Lytechinus pictus: one gene and its partner. The protein of the gene in region 1 purifies or fractionates together with the protein of each later gene. This does not show direct contact. Links are inferred from orthologs where the notes say so. Each region holds a gene or a part of one and is shown on either strand. Other genes may lie near its edges. The genes, in order: dnaJ homolog subfamily C member 3-like and dnaJ homolog subfamily B member 11-like.

Region 1 (8,097 bases):
ATGAGAGCGGGAGTGAAGTCCTTCTTGAGAGTCATGCTCTTCTTCAAGTCTGGTAGAGCCAGTTTGGACCTTCCTTGGGCCAGGTAAACAGCGGCTCTCTTGTAGTATGCCATGTAGTTCTCAGGATCATTGTCTTGACAAAATTAAATAATAAACCTTCCTTTAAAGGGATGGTCTGGGCTAAAAATACTTATATCTTAATACATAGAGTAGAATTCACTGAGCAAAATGCCGAAAATTTCATCAAAATCGGATAACAAATAATAAAGTTATTGAAGTTCAAAGTTTAGCAATATTTTGTGAAAACAGTCGTCATGAATATTAGGTGGGCTGATGATGTCACATCCCCACTTTCCGTTTTCTTATGTTATTACATAAAATCATAATTTTCCATTATGTCATACTTGTGTGAATAATATGTCTCCCTTATAATGAAATAAGTTGCAGCAATAAATATCTAATGCACTAAATCAGCTGTCATTCCCCTTTTTCTAGTTCTTGGAGGAAAAAATTTGAATAAACCTAATTTCATATAATAAAATACAAAAGAACAAGTGGGGATGTGACATCATCAGCCCACCTAATGAATATTCATGACGACTGTTTTCACAAAATATTGCGAAACTTTAAAATTCAATTAATTTTTTATTTGTTATCCGATTTTGATGAAATTTTTTGGCATTTTGCTCAGTGAATTCTATTTAGCTATAAATACTTCCAGCCCGGACCATCCCTTTAATAGAGGCATATCTTTACAGAGATTTCAACTGCTCTCTTTTTGCAGAGAGTTTCGTTATAGTCTACTGAAGGTTTCATTTTTTCAAAGATTCTAACTATAATACACAATGTCTGTTAAAGAAAATATTCATACTATTCTATTTTTCTAACCAATTTTTTTTTTCATACAAAAAACCCCTGCAATTTATTTTTAGGCATCCCTTCACTTATGTATAGTTTAATGATTTGCAATATTGGTGCAGTAGCAAAGAGCATTATTTGAATACATTCTGACTCACACACAGAAAAGTTCACACCAAACTGTGATGAAAGGGATTGTCCGGGCTGAAGAAATTTATATCTACATAAATAGAGTAAAATTCACAGCAAAATGCTGAAAATTTCATCATATCGGATAATAAATAACAAAGTTATTAAGTCTCAAGTTTATCAATATTTTGTGAAAACAGTTATATCCACATTGTCATGAATATTCATTAGGTGGGCTGATGATGTCACATCCCCACTTTCCTTTTTGTTATGTTATTACATGAAATAATAAATGTTTAATTTTTTTATACATGTGTAATTGATATGTCTCCATTATGAAGAAATAAGATGCGGCAATAAATAACTAATGCACTCAATCAGTTGTCAATCCAATTGCTTTAGTTCTTGGTAGAAAAAATTTAAATAAACCTAATTTCATATAATAGAATACAAAAGAACAAGTGGGGATATGCATCATCAGCCCACCTATTGCATATTCATAAAGACATCCCTAGAACTGTTTCACTGGAATAAATGCAAATCTTTAAAATTCAATAACTTTGTTATTTGTGACCTGATTTTGATAAAATTATCAGCATTTTGCTCAGTGTATTTCACTCTATTTATTGAGAAATAAATATTTCCAGCCTGGACCATCCCTTTAATAATACATGTTCCGTGTTCTTTCATTAGGTATAATTCACAAGGGAGATTTCTAAAAACTTTCTCTTTGTTACATGCTGTCCTGAGGCTATTTTTAAGTGTACACAGTACTGAATTTGATCTCGGCTTTGTTGTACCACAAAGGTTGGCAATGGATTGCAAATATAAGAGCACCATTCTGATTGGTTCCTGAACAGTATTTTTTTTAAAGGGCATAGAGCAATCGATTTAATGACCCATTGCTATAATTTAGGGCTTGGTGGCAGACATCCATTTTTTCCCCCCCATTTGCATATTTTCTTTAGGGATGCACATAGCAAATGAGTGCTCATTACACTTATTTCAATGAGCTTGAAATTATCATTATGAAAGGTAATTGGTTTAAATCCCTTCTGTGGTTTCAACCTATTTTGTGAATTTGGGCCTGACAGCATGTTTTTCTAGAGGTTTGGAATATTCAAGTGGATAATACATATTGGCTGGGTGTTGGGTTCGGACTTGTCCTTTAAGCTATCACCAACAGTGGCTATATTGTTTTGTTAATTTTTCTCCTCCTATTTAAACAAAGTTACCGGAACAGAACTATCAATTTTTTCAATGAAAAGAAAGTAATTTACTCATAGTAGGTTGCTATGGAATTTAAAAAAATATACAGTACCGTACACGCTTTACACTATAGTATCACATCGAAAGTGTTTACTAAGCAGTCTAATGGTTAATTCATTACTGGCACAGTTGGTAAAATAAGACTGGTAAATGTTTATACCTATTGCAGAATTATATTGGGCCAGTGCATCAGCAAGCTGACCAGCTGCTAACAAAGTGTTTCCAGTCTCCATGTATTTCTTGGCCTCTGCTTCCGATTTCGCTTCTCCATCTGCACAGAAAACAAAGAACATCCGCAAATTTTTCATGAAATAGATTAATTGGCATCGAGCTCATCTCTAGATTTAACTCACATTTGAAAGACTAGAATATATGCCAATTTTTCTTCTTTCTTTTCATTCAAACTTCAAATTCAATCAATTATAAAGGGAAAAGATCAATACAAATTAAAATGCCATGGAAATTGGAAAGAGCTGGAGTTAATTGATGGGTCAGTAAGTTTTTTAAAATGCTGATGGAAGTAAGACAGATGTTGAAAGAATCAATGTACGTAATGACTTTTTATTTCAAATTATTAAGTAAAAATTAGGAACAAATAAATCCCTAACTTGAAATTAAATGATCTCGATCATGTCGATCAGACAGTCAAAACAACATGAACAAGTCAAGCAATCGCATCTGCCTCCATCAACAACTTGTCATCTGTTGTAGATCCTTACTATGAACCTTAAACTCGGCAAAAACAGCGTGATTTCATAAACAAAGTGTTACTTTTACTTTCGTTAATCGTTAGACAAGTGATTTGGGACTTGCTTGGCCGACGACATGAGACTACAAGTACAACAAAGAACAATACAAAACTTGTAATGGATGGGACTACGGCAAAGGCGTGAGCAACAATTTTGAGATCTTACCATCATAATGAAGAGACAAAGTCACCAAGAGAACTGGAATCGAGCTTAAAAAGTTGTGCAAATTGAACATATCCCTTCGTCTCGCCATCAATGATGAGTAAATGCTCGATAACAGTCTGACATTAAGAAATTATCACCACTGCAACGAAATCGGTTCAGTAGCGGACTCGCATACCTTAATACACGTAGGGATCCCATACACGTATGTGCTACTTTTGTCAATTTGATGTTGGTCTAATTTATCTCAAAGTAATTATATTACTTTCATTGAAAAGTAATTTTAATACCATTTTTTCTTTTGTAGAAACTAAGATAGATTTAATAATATTTTATAATCAACTATAATATATAAACTTAGTCAGTATGCAATATCTAACTTCAAACTTGGATTAAATCATTACGTTGCACTACACAAGAAAGATGTGTTGCGATTTGATTGGTCAAATAAGGACTTCTCGAACGTCAAATTACACATGGACTTTTCGGCTCCACCCATCAACAAAACCACTGTTGATTCTCGGTGAACTGTTGTTGAATTTGACGCGCATGCCCAACGAGACTGTTTTTTTTTTTTTTTTTTAAACTAGTGGCCCCTCAATTCAAAATTGTTCACAAAACAAAACAAATTTAAAAAAATGAAGGGGGGTGGCTGGGCCTGTGGAAATGCAGGGAGGGGTATAGTAGGCCTACTGATTAAAGGACAAGTCCACCCAAACAAAAAATTGATTTGAATAAAAAGAGAAAAATCCAACAAACATAACAATAAAATTTCTTTAAAATCGGATGTAAAATAAGAAAGTTATGACATTTTTAAGTTTTGCTTAATTTCACACAACAATTACATGCACACCCTGTTGGGTATGCAAATGAGGAGACTGATGACGTCATCCACTCACTATTTCTTTTGTATTTTATTATATAAAATAGGGAATATCCTATTTTTCTACTCCTTGTCAAGTGAAACAACGATTAATTCCTCCCTGAACATGTGGAATGGGCATTTTTAATACTATATGATTTAGTCAACTGAAGTTGGTCCTTATTGTAAAATCTATAAAAATGAAATATTGTATAATTCAAACAATAAAAAACAAAAGAAATAGTGCATGAGTGAGGGACATCATAGATTGTCTCATTTGAGTTGTGCATATCACTGTTTTGTGAAAAATAAGCGAAAATTTAAAATGTCATAACTTTCTTATTTTACATCCGATTTGATGAAATTTTCAGCATTTTGCTAGTTTGATTTTTGTCTATTTATTCAAATCAACATTTTTGTGGGGTGGACTTGACCTTTAAGATTTATTTGATAGAGATAGGTAAATAGCATACACAAGGCGGCCCCTACAAAATTCACCAATATAATTAACTCGACTTTTCGGATGTCAAATATCACTTAATCATATCATCTGCAAATATGACTCTATTCTGGTATTTTTCTTGCCGTCCGAAATACTTTTTTTCCAAACAGAAGGCGAAAATGAGCTTCCGACAAGAAGGTAGATTAGCCGCTAAACATTGTGGTTCAGTCAAGTTTGTCATGATTATTGTCAAATCTGTAAAAATTGAAATATTGTATAATTCAAACAATAAAAAAACAAAAGAAATAGTGAGTGAGGGACATCACCGACTCTCTCATTTGCACAACACTGAAATGTACATATAACATGTTTTGTGGAAAAATAAGCGAAAGTTTAAAATGTCTTAGCTGTCTTATTTCACATCAGATTTTGATGAAATTTCAGCATTATGCTTGTTTGAATTTTCTATATTGATTCAAATCATAATTTTTCTGGGGTGGACTTGACCTTTTAACAAGGAAACTATCTTTTTTTTAAATCAGAACTTACAGGCCTGGTACAATAGGTTACAATAATTAGAGTTCCGTATGTTCAGGGCTGGAGGTCAAACTTTGTTTAACTTTACGGTATCATGAGGAGAAGATAAAATGTTTTATATTTTATATACTAACATAAAAAGAGGTGATACGTGATGCCATGACCAATGTCCTCGTTTGTATATATACATGATATACAGACCATGTTGTGACTGATTTACTGTTTTGCGAAATTACGCGAAAGTGTAAAATGTCCTAACTTTCTTGACCAACACCAGCGTTATGCTTGTTTGGTTTTGTCCTTTAATTCAAATCTACATTTTTTGGTTCATGTGTTTATTCTTTAAAGGGGAATCCGAACGACAATTATTATGCGTGTAGTGATAAGACTAGAAGAAAAGAATTAATGGTAATTTTGACAGAGATGGGACAAAGATGAAAAAAAAGTTTATTCATTCTTCAGACACAAAATTTCAAGCACGCTAACAAATATTGTTTTAACTTTCATTTTTTTTTTTAGTTTTAAACAATTTGTTTAAAAATTTAATTTGTTGGAGTGTATACAGAATTAAAACACGTGCGTAAAAAATAAACATCGTTTTTACAATGTTTCAACAATGTGCAGGATATAATATTGCTGATCATATTTTTCATTCAAAAGTTAACCAGCTACATCAGGACCATCAGGACCATCATGAAGGACAGTATTGAAATTTATTCAATTCATTAGTCTATATGATTTACATAAAACATTTTTCAACTGGCTTTAATTACATTGATAATTAACAGAAAATTGCACACATCGACATGACTAGGCATTAAAAAAATTCATTAGTAGTAGACATGACAAAATGGGGAATAAAGCAGCTAGAAAAGGTCTATAAATAAAAAGCATGCATGTTGAGTGTTCTGGTATTATTGACCTGTAATCACGTTGATTACTGATCGACCCTCGATCAATGGGGTTATGATGGTTGAGTTCATTTTTTATTGGAGTACATCCTTATTTGGACGGTTTTGATGTATAGTAATGATTTCCCCCGGATATATATATAGTTCCGCGTTCCTACTCCATCTTTCATGATCCTATTTCAGCTATAGTCCTATTCACATGACCCTTCCTCATAATATTCCTGCGTTCAGTCGGTTCAGCTGGGTTCACCTTTATTTCGTGACCCGTGCATTTTCGCCCACGAGAAACATCTGTAAGACTGTATTTTTGTGGAATAACGAGGAAATGATATATTTAGATACCCCCAGGTATTATAGAGAACGTCATGCGTCACGCCGGTGTGCAATTAAGCTACCACATTGTGTTGTACGGTTGATTTAAATTGTAACGATTGACCTAAAACTTTTGGGGTTACCCTAATTCAGTTTGTTGTGAATGACGTCTTCTATTACGTAACACGGATTATCATGCCGATCCCGCTGAGAGCGCGCGTCTTTCTGCATGTCGTCTGCTTCCAATATAATGCGCTATGCTCGGGCGAAATGACTATTCATCTACCTGCATTTCGAGCGACCGGAGCACAAATCTACTTATAGTAAAACAACTTATTCCTCAAATTTCAGGTAATATATACTTTCTATGAGCATTCCAGATGATGATGTGGCTACTAGCTTTATTGACTTAGGAGCGAGTAATTTGCAAATTGTGAAGGATTTATGTGCGTTTATATATATATATGCCCGGTTTTGTGTGGCAACTTTGCAGCCAGTGATGAGTGAAAATACGATGCCAGATAATCTTTGCGGCATGCGGTACTTTCTACGGAGTACGGGTAGCTGACACACGGGCAAAAGAGCGGGGAGTGGGATCGTACTGAGCTGGAGAAATTCAGAAGTACAGATGTAGAGCCGGCGAAATTCAGAAGTAGAGCCGCTGAAATGGAAACATAATGATGCATGATGATGATGTTGATGATTCAAAGATGATGATGATGCCAGGTGCTGATTGGTGATATGGATGAATGTGGTGGTGATAGTGGATGCATGATGATGATGATGTGCACAGCCACAAGGTGATGATGAATATGCATATGGTGGTAATTAATAGTGGCAACATGATCGATGATGGTGATAGTGATGATACCAGGTGTTGATTTGTGAAAAAGGATGGTGGTGGTTGTAAATGTGACCACATATATGATGGTGACGAGTATGGTGGTGATGAGGATGGTGATGGTGATGAAGAAGATGATGATGAAGATGGATGATGATAACGATGGTGATGATGAAGATGATGATGATCTTGTAGACGAAGATGAAGATGATGATGTTGATGGTGATGATGATGATGATGATGATGATGATGAAAGATCATGATGATAATGATGATGAAGATGATGATGTTTATCTAGATGTTGATGACGATGGTGGTGCATGATGAAGATGATGATGATGAAGATGATATGATAGATGATGAAGATGATGATGATTATGATATCAGGTGCTGATAATACGTGATGAGGATGAATGTGGTGGTAATAATGAATATAATTTTGATGATGATCATATGACGATGATGATGAAGATCATGATTCATGTTGATGATGAGAATTAATATAATGCCATTTAAACACCTATCGTGCCTGGTGAAGGGAAAATTGCTGAATTGGCTACCCTAGCTAATAATTTATGACTCTATGCCCAATTAGTGTTGGTAATGAGGTAATACACAAACATATTAGGGACCTCATAATAGTGTGATGATGATATTTTCATATGCATTACACTCGTGATATCTTTTACATAAATTAGTGGAAGGCCAACACTGTATGCTCTATTGAATTAGGAGTGATCAAAAGAGAGAGAGGGAGCATATATATATTTTTCATTTGGTCACTATATTATGGATACATATAGGCCTGTGTAGCCATTCTCCATTGGTTAAGTAGCTTTATGCTTGTTTCACAATATGCGAGATATAACTTTTGGTGAGCTTTTATGTTGACGAACTTCAGTTCGAACTCATTTCTGAGTATTTATCCAAATGGCTCTTCAAAGCCTCTTTGTATACAATTTGCATTGTTCTGTGTGTTTGGTTTTAGAAGAGTGGGGGTAAACAAGCTCGAGAATGGATTTTCA
Region 2 (8,510 bases), on another chromosome or scaffold:
GATTATACATAGCACAATGAGCATCTTGCCCGACAGATGTGTGCGCTTTAAAAGAATTCACTATTATTAATCAACTGGAATAGTGATAGCTAATGACAAGCTTTAACTTAGGTCTTTTTTGTGTAGTTTACTCTCTTCTTGGCATAATCAATATTGACTTCTACTATATTACATGAAACAATACAAGTTGGCAGGTAACAATTGAATTAAAGAAATAGGGCTGTCATGAAAATGATGGCATTGGTCATGTAAATTTGCTGTACTTGAAAGTTAATGCAGCATGAACTTTGTAATTGCATTTACAAGTTTATTTTAGATTTCTCTTTTGTTTTGATTAACTTTGACTTTATACATATTTACTTCAGGTTTTTTAGAAATATTTTCAAAATTGACATTAGAATTGCCTCTTTACTTCCCACAAGTTTTATAAATTAAAAAAGAAATTATGAACAATACCAACCTCCAAATATTCTTGTGGTGTATTCTTCTCTGATGTGTTAAGGTAGGTATCTTCTTCTGGTATGAAAAGTCAAACACCTCAATCCCTATTCTATCGGGGTGCCGATTGATAACATACAGGGTCAGTGTGGGATTATCTAAATGAGAGTAATATTGACAATAAGTATAAATTAATGACTTTGAAATCCTAAATAAGGTACCTTGTCCAAAATCTCTTCCAAGTGTTTCAGCAGGAATCCAGCTCTAAAAGGCACTATTTACCTTTTCATAGCAGCTTCCCTGCATTGTTTTGTCTAAGTTGAAGTGTTAAAGGGGGAGTGAACTGTGTGTGGTCTCTCATTGACTGTGTGTTATATATACATAGTCTTAGAATATACATTTTCAGATATAATAATACAGATAATAAATTGACCTATAATTGTATTTGTGTAGAGAAACTAAAATGTTTGAGAGGAAAAGTAATTGTTTTGCTGCTTGGTAAAATAATTATTGCGGTATAAATGTAACGATTAGTTAATGAGCATGTTATCATTCAAGTGGGTCTATATCAATAGACTACACTAGCATTATGGGTCAGGAAACTGGCCAGGTATGAGTAGTTGAGGACTCGAGATGGCGCTATTGGTTCGTATCTGCTTTAAAATCAGTAATGTGAAGCTGCTTGCGGGATTCCGTGCAAAAGACATGCCTCTGACTTTGGACAAAGTACCTAAACTTTTATGACATTCCACAAATACAATAGCAATAGTGGCTCCAATAAAATGAGGGGAGGGGGAGGCTAGGCTAAAGCTTTAGAAATGGATCATGATTTCTAAATGTTCTAGACTGAGCAGCACAGAAAAACAATCAAATAATTAGAAATAGGTTTGAAAGGTAATCTGAATTTAATTTGAAAAGGCAAAATAGAATGTCCAATACCGGCTGTCACTTCATAGATCTATTGAATTCCCTTTTTCATACCATCTCCCACCAATCTATACTAATTTTTTGGGGAAAAAAATTCAATGTGTGTCTACTTCAAGCTTGTATCAAATATCAGCCCTTTTTCACAAAGCTATTAGATTAAAGAAACAAGTCTACAAAGTAATAATTCTTAAAATACCTTTTGGCCCACTCTCCCAAATGTCCATTCCAAAGGGTATCCAGTCTGAGGGATCAAATCCAACAATCTGGATGTTTTTAGGATCATCATCAGGATAATTGAAGTCAAAGAGAAAGACTTTACCCAATATATCTTGATCAGGTTCAAATGCTTTCAAGACACCCTATTGAATGAAAGAAAATAATAGGCGATAGAGCATAATATTGTACTCAGATTTATTCTTACAATTAAAGAGAAAGTTTACTTTAGTGTCAAGTTGGAAATACAAGTATAAATAATCCATAACGGATTAGACCTACAGTTTGTTACCTCAGCAATAAAAGCAATTACACAATATTATTATGGTGATGATGACATAAATAACAAAAATAATAATTGTAGTGATGATGATGATAACAAAAATGATTTGTTATTCAATGTTATTCTTAATATTGATCAGTGTTTTGTTAGTGATTATTGTCATCATCATCTATAGGGATAATGACGACAACAACAATAAAAAAAAATAGTATATTCAATTTTCTTGCCAATATAATATTCTTTATTGGCAATTACCATCATAATAATTATCATAAAAAGTAGCAGCAGCAGCAGTAGAAATAGAAGCAGCCAGTGGCGGACCGTGACCCAGAGGAGACAAAGCATTGGAGGGGCACAGCATTGTTCACAAACAATACAGTGCCCCTCCAATGCTTTGTCTCCTCCGGGTCACGGTCCGCCACTGGTAGCAGCAGTAATGCTAGAAGTGGTAGCAGTAGTAGTAGTAGTGGTGGTAGTAGTAGTAGTAGTAGTAGTAGTAGTAGTAGTAGTAGTAGTAGTAGTAGTAGTAGTAGTAGTAGTAGTAGTAGTAGAAGTAGGAGTACAAGCAGAAGCTGAATTAATAGAAGTAGTACTAGATGTATACTACTACTACTTCTACTACTACTACTACTACTACTACTACTTCTACTACTAATACTACTACTGCTACTCCTATATTACTTCAACAAATAGTACTGATGATGATGATGGTGGTGGTGATGATGATATTAATAATAGTTCTACTAACAATAATAGTAATAATAATGATAATTATTGTGATTTTACAAACAATCGATAAATACTTGCTATTAACACAAGTCTTGTGCAAATTTTGATTGAATTCATAGTTTTATGTTGTATTAATACTCTCTACCCTTGAGTATGTAATTCATACCAATACTTTGTTTCATATTTAACAAATACATAAATGTTTTACCCTGTAAAGCACATAAAAAGGTGTTAAATCTACTAATGCGCTAAATGAAATTATCTTTATTATTATTAAACTAAATATAATATCAATTAAAAATATATAAAAATAATAATAAAATATCATGATGATTATTATTTTCATTATAAAAGCTTCACATTAACTTACAGCGGATATGAATGCAAGTCCATTTGACGAGGTCACTATATCCTCAGATCCATTTTCTTTATGGTATAGATATAACAAACAGAAGTGAAATTGAAAATACAACTTAAAAAGAAACAAATATAATAAAATTAAAAAGAGTCAAAAACACTTTAAGGATTACATTCAAATTATAACAATATCGTATTCTCTCACAAGGGGGAAATTGTTTCAGTATTCAGGGGCCGCGGAAGCAGGGTGGGGGGGGGGCTTTTTCCCAAACCATGTACAAAAACGTAAAAATGACCATACGATTGTGATTTTTTGCATGGTCAGCCCCCCCCCCCCGACTTTGAAAACCGTTCCGCGGCCCCTGGTTGGGGATGATTTCTCTACTCGTGTTATCTCTAATTTCTTAATTTTGTATTGAAATAATTTCCCTTATAAAGGAATCACTCCAGCCCAAGGTCAAGTGAAAAGTTGATGAATACAAAAAATCTGAGAAGCAGGTATTATTATTATTTAAAAAAAAAATATTTGTAAAAAGCAACTCTTCCAAAAATACTTCAATACACAAAATAACCATTGTTATTTTCTTAAAGTTATATTAAGAATGTAATTTCTCTTAAATAAGGATATGTAACAATATCCTTTATGTTGTAATCAATCTATTAATTATTATTACTCCCAAATTATTCATATCACTCCTAATTTATATACTTGGATCAACTTTGATGTTCATCTATTGAACAATTCTTTAGATATCATAAAAAACATTAACAAAATTGACCGATGACAATCAAAATACATTAAATTCCTATAGCAACCATGTAAGATGGGCAGAGGCATAAAAAGGAAAGAAAGAAAATGAATTAGTCAATATTTACCAATTCCTGGTAGAGCTCTACACTTCCCAGGATAATGTGTGTATACAGTCTTGTGAAATCCCATCATATATCTGTTTCAAAATGTAAAAAAGAAAATAGCTCCTGAATAACACCAGAAACAGGCACTTATGAAAATTCAAGAGTGGTCCAAAGTGATTTACTCACCTTTTTGGAGTTTCAAAAGATTGCCTTGTTATAATCAATGTAAAGAATACAATAAAAAAAAATGGTGAAAACTGAGAATAAGAAACAAAAGATTTCAAGAAATTCATGGAACTATGAAAATTTGAATTGAAAATATGAATTGTTGTAATGGCTAATTTTCTTGTCAGTCCTATGATATGTTTCCATAGAGCATTAAAAAAACTCTTTATTTCCATACTAAATATAGGCCTACAACTATTTAAATTATTAAAATCAGAAGTTTGTGCCTTCTCTATTGGAGACAAAATGTCCCATATGTAACTCCCCCCCCCCAAAAAAAAGTAACATAACACGTCCTCTTCGACTTCACCCACGGCTTTATTACAAAAATATCAACTCTTTCTTGAGTCTTGTGACACAAAACAACAACAAAAGTAACAAAGTCAAAGGGGAAAGACAAAGTCATAATCCTCTTCGACTTCACCCACAGCTTTATTACAAAAATATCAACTCTTGTGAAACAAAACAAAACTTGATCTAAACCTAACCCTGATCTGAATAGTCAATTTTTTTTTTATTCTCCAAACTTTACTTCTTGGGAGCGTTTCATGAAAGGACTTGTCGGACGTTTTATCCGACAAGATCCATTTTATCCGACAGTTACCATAGTAACAGTACCTCTCAGCCAATCAACATCAGAGAAAGATGTCAGATCTGACAACTTGTCGGATGAAAATGTTGATGAAACACTCCCCTTATCTATTAAAGACAGATAATCTAGTATTATTTAGTCACTGTATAAAAGGGGCGTGTCTACGGAAAAATTATCTACCAGCGGCTGTTGTCTTCCCCCTAACTGCGGGCGGAGGCAAGCATCGATTCGAAAGGTGAGCCGTCGCAGGCCCAAAAGGTTCATTTTTAAATTTTAGGAGAGCTTTCAAACTTTTTTTTGTAAATCGAATCGAAAAGTCAAACTCACGCGATCCGAGCAAGCTGGTCAATCACTACAGCAAAAACGATGTAGGTGACTATACTACGGATTGATAACCACATTTTAATCAGAATTTGACGGAGAACTGCAACTGGGAGAATGGAGAGAAAATTGCAAAGACTCGACTGTAAAGTTAGCATGAATGAAGGCGTGGCATGGCCAATAAAGTTGCGTGCGCATCAGATGTAAACGCAACAGCGAATGAAAAACGACTTCGTGGAAATTCTGAAAGGAGTGTTGAGCCGAAAGACCGGCGTTTTCACATGGCAAAAACATGGCTATTTATACATGGAATGTATGCTTATTTCTCCTCCAGTTGTCATTAACTGTATTAGCAGGGTAAGCTATATTTGATTAATCTAGAAATTTAGAAAATTGTGTCTTTAAATGTGTTAAACCTGCAGAACTAATGTCAAGTAAAGCCTGTTCAGTCCCACTCGTTATAAAATATGTTTTAGTTGCTCACAAAGCCATTGGCATAATTAAACTTAATTAAGCCCAGATTCCAGAATGTCAATCGTGATCGTGTGTATGTGGATGCGTGGGGATAAGCAGATAAAAACATAATATTTTGCTCTGGATATTTTCAAAATCTGTGCATGAAATAGTAGGCCTAGGCCTAAATGTAATTTTTGATATTTCATTTATTTGATTTTGATATTTGAAATATTGTCAAACTAATCTCTGAGTATCAAAGTATCATGACTATCACTATCAGTAGACAGTATCACTTAAAACAATTTATGACTAACGATTAACGTTGACTGATAATTGTCATTTGATAAATCCACATCCGCTGTTTCGGAGGAGTTTTAACTTTTAAAAACATTTTCTGATTTTTTGGTCCTCCTACAACACAGATGACAGATGGATGATGGCTATTGCGCTCGTAATAGTGGAGCAAACAACCGCCGCTTAATTACACTGTACAGTGTCTATGGAGAAAAGGGTGCACTTTTTCACCCTCCTCGATTATGATTTTGCTTTTTGAGGTGGGAAAAAGTAATCTAAATAGGCCTAAAGATAAATTATTTAAATACATTCAGCTTACCACCTTTCCGAAAAATGTGCCAGAAATAAATTAAGGCTGTAACGGATTTTAAAATCGGCTCCCGATTTTATCAGATTTTACCACAATCAGCGATCTCCTGCCGATCTTTGTCTTTGATTATGCCCATTGAAGGAAAAAATGCGAAGTCTCAGCGGAGCATATCTCTGACATCAGTCTAGACTAGAATCTACTATCTAGTCTACATGTAGGCTACTAATGATTGCAAAGTTCTTGATTATTTAATTGCATCTTAACTTCTAACCTGGCCCAGAGAGTTACCCTGGTACTACCCCAAATCTTTCATCATATCACACTTGATTAGAATTTTGATAATTTCATTTACATTTTTCAAATTATGCATTCAATTCTTTGAATTAGAAATTGCTCTTAAGTGGCATGTTAGAGTTTACTGAAATGTATGCTTCTCTGACAAAATTACAATTGTTTTAAGGTGTTTGAAATTATTTTTTTTCAAATCGAAAACAATATTATTTAGCAACAACATTATTTAGCTCCTTTTTTTTAAACGAAAGAACATTTTTATATCACAACTTTGTTGGGAAACTGCAGTGGATATAGCTTATTTCGAGGTATCTAAATACGCTATACTTTGAATTAGAAGCTCATAAATCATAAAATTTTGTTTATGCATAACAGGAGAGACTTTTACAAAATCCTTGGAGTGCCTCGAGATGCTTCTACCAACCAAATCAAGAAGGCATACAGGAAATTAGCTATGCAGTATCATCCTGATAAAAACAAGGATGATCCAGAAGCTAATGAAAAATTTCATGATCTTGGTGCTGCATATGAGGTAGGCTTGATGTTTCCATTTTTTCCTTATCTTTATAGCATAGATATTAAAATGAATTTATGGAAAGGCTGTATTATTGTTGAATATATAGTTAATCCCAGCCCATTCTTTCAGAGTTATGATTGATAAATTAAAATTGATCCTCATCTCTTTATTATTTCCATTTGCATCTCAGATTGATTTTGATTATATTGCAACTCTTTAAAGGCATGCCTCTGGAAGGAGGGGGTGGGGTGGTGGCATGGTAGGGGTTGTCATCTTACTTTACTTTACATTGTTATAAACTTCGATGTTAAGGGTATCCTCATTTTTCCCCTCCAGGGAGTACTTTCTTATAGATATAGAACATTTTGTCAAATTCAGGTGTAAAATAAAAAATTATGACATTTTCAAATTTTGCAAAATAGTTATGCCCATCCTGGTCAGCCTTCTCTGTATACAAATTAGGTAACCAATGATGTAACCCATATACTATTCCCTTTGTAGTTTATACTCTAGGGTGGACTTGGCCTTTACGGGATGGCTATACCAATTTTTGTCTTGCCTGCATAACAGAGTGAGACTATAGGCGCCGCTTTTCCGACGGCGGCATCAACACCAAATCTTAACCGAAGGTTAAGTTTTTGACAGCATAACTTAGAAAGTATATGGACCTAGTTCATGAAACTTGGCCATAAGATTAATCAAGTATTACTGAATATCCTGCCTGAGTTTTAGGTCATATGACCAAGGTCAAAGGTCATTTAGGGTCAATGAACTTAGACCATGTCGGGGGAATCAACATCAAAATCTTAACCTAAGGTTAAGTTTTTGAAATGTCATCATAACTTAGAAAGTATATGGACCTAGTTCATGAAACTTGAACATAAGGTTAATCAATTATTACTGAACATCCTGCTTGAGTTTCACATCACATGACTAAGGTCAAAGGTCATTTAGGGTCAATGAACTTTGGCCAATTGGGGGTATTTATTGAAGTACCATCATAACTTTGAAAGTTTATTGGTCTAGTTCATAAAACTTGGACATAAGAGTAATCAAGTATCACTGAACATCCTGTGCGAATTTCAGGTCACATGACCAATGTCAAAGGTCAATGAACTTTGGCCATGTGGGGGAATCTGTACCATCATAACTTTGAAAGTTTATGGATCTGATTCATGAAACTTGGACATAAGAGTAACCAAGTATCACTGAACATCTTGTGCGAGTTTCAGGTCGCATGACCAAGGTCAAAGGTCAAAGGTCAATGGTCAAAGGTCAATGAACTTTAGCCAATGGGGGTATCTGTTGAATTACCATCATAACTTCGAAAGTTTATGGATCTGATTCATGAAACTTGGACATAAGAGTAATCAAGTATCACTGAACATCCTGTGCAAATTTCAGGTCACATGACCAACATCAAAGGTCAATGAACTTTGGCTCTGTGGGGGAATCTGTTGAATTACCATCAGAAGAGACCGCCAGAGGCATTCCACTTGTTTAAAGAATGTATCTAAAGTTGTTACACTTATTGCACTGACTGTCAAGAATAGAAAGAAATTCCAGTTGTTACAGAGTCACATAGAGAATGAATTTTGAAAGAATACAGGTTTGTACTTTTGCTTCTTTACTTTCATTCTGTGACCTCGTGTTGCTGAGCTTTGGTGGACCATATTTGATCAAGTCTTTATTTGTATTTTTG

What was found.
Region 2: the proteins of dnaJ homolog subfamily C member 3-like (region 1) and dnaJ homolog subfamily B member 11-like purify together in Homo sapiens (affinity purification with mass spectrometry; 3 studies listed by BioGRID and IntAct, with this or other methods). This does not show direct contact. The link is inferred for Lytechinus pictus from reciprocal best matches to the Homo sapiens genes DNAJC3 and DNAJB11.

The regions. Positions count from the first base shown.
Region 1 is NC_087260.1:12,716,066-12,724,162, forward strand, and holds the start of dnaJ homolog subfamily C member 3-like, read right to left. Parts: upstream 3,396-8,097; 5' UTR 3,259-3,395; coding exon 3,171-3,258; intron 2,528-3,170; coding exon 2,417-2,527; intron 134-2,416; coding exon 1-133. UniProt on the Homo sapiens protein: Involved in the unfolded protein response (UPR) during endoplasmic reticulum (ER) stress.
Region 2 is NC_087245.1:13,274,917-13,283,426, forward strand, and holds the start of dnaJ homolog subfamily B member 11-like, read left to right. Parts: upstream 1-4,844; 5' UTR 4,845-4,946; coding exon of another isoform or gene 4,947-5,098; 5' UTR 5,099-5,232; coding exon 5,233-5,297; intron 5,298-6,666; coding exon 6,667-6,823; intron 6,824-8,510. Other genes in the region: serum paraoxonase/arylesterase 2-like, read right to left, coding at 461-596, 1,562-1,724, 2,961-3,016, 3,824-3,894, 4,947-5,098. UniProt on the Homo sapiens protein: As a co-chaperone for HSPA5 it is required for proper folding, trafficking or degradation of proteins.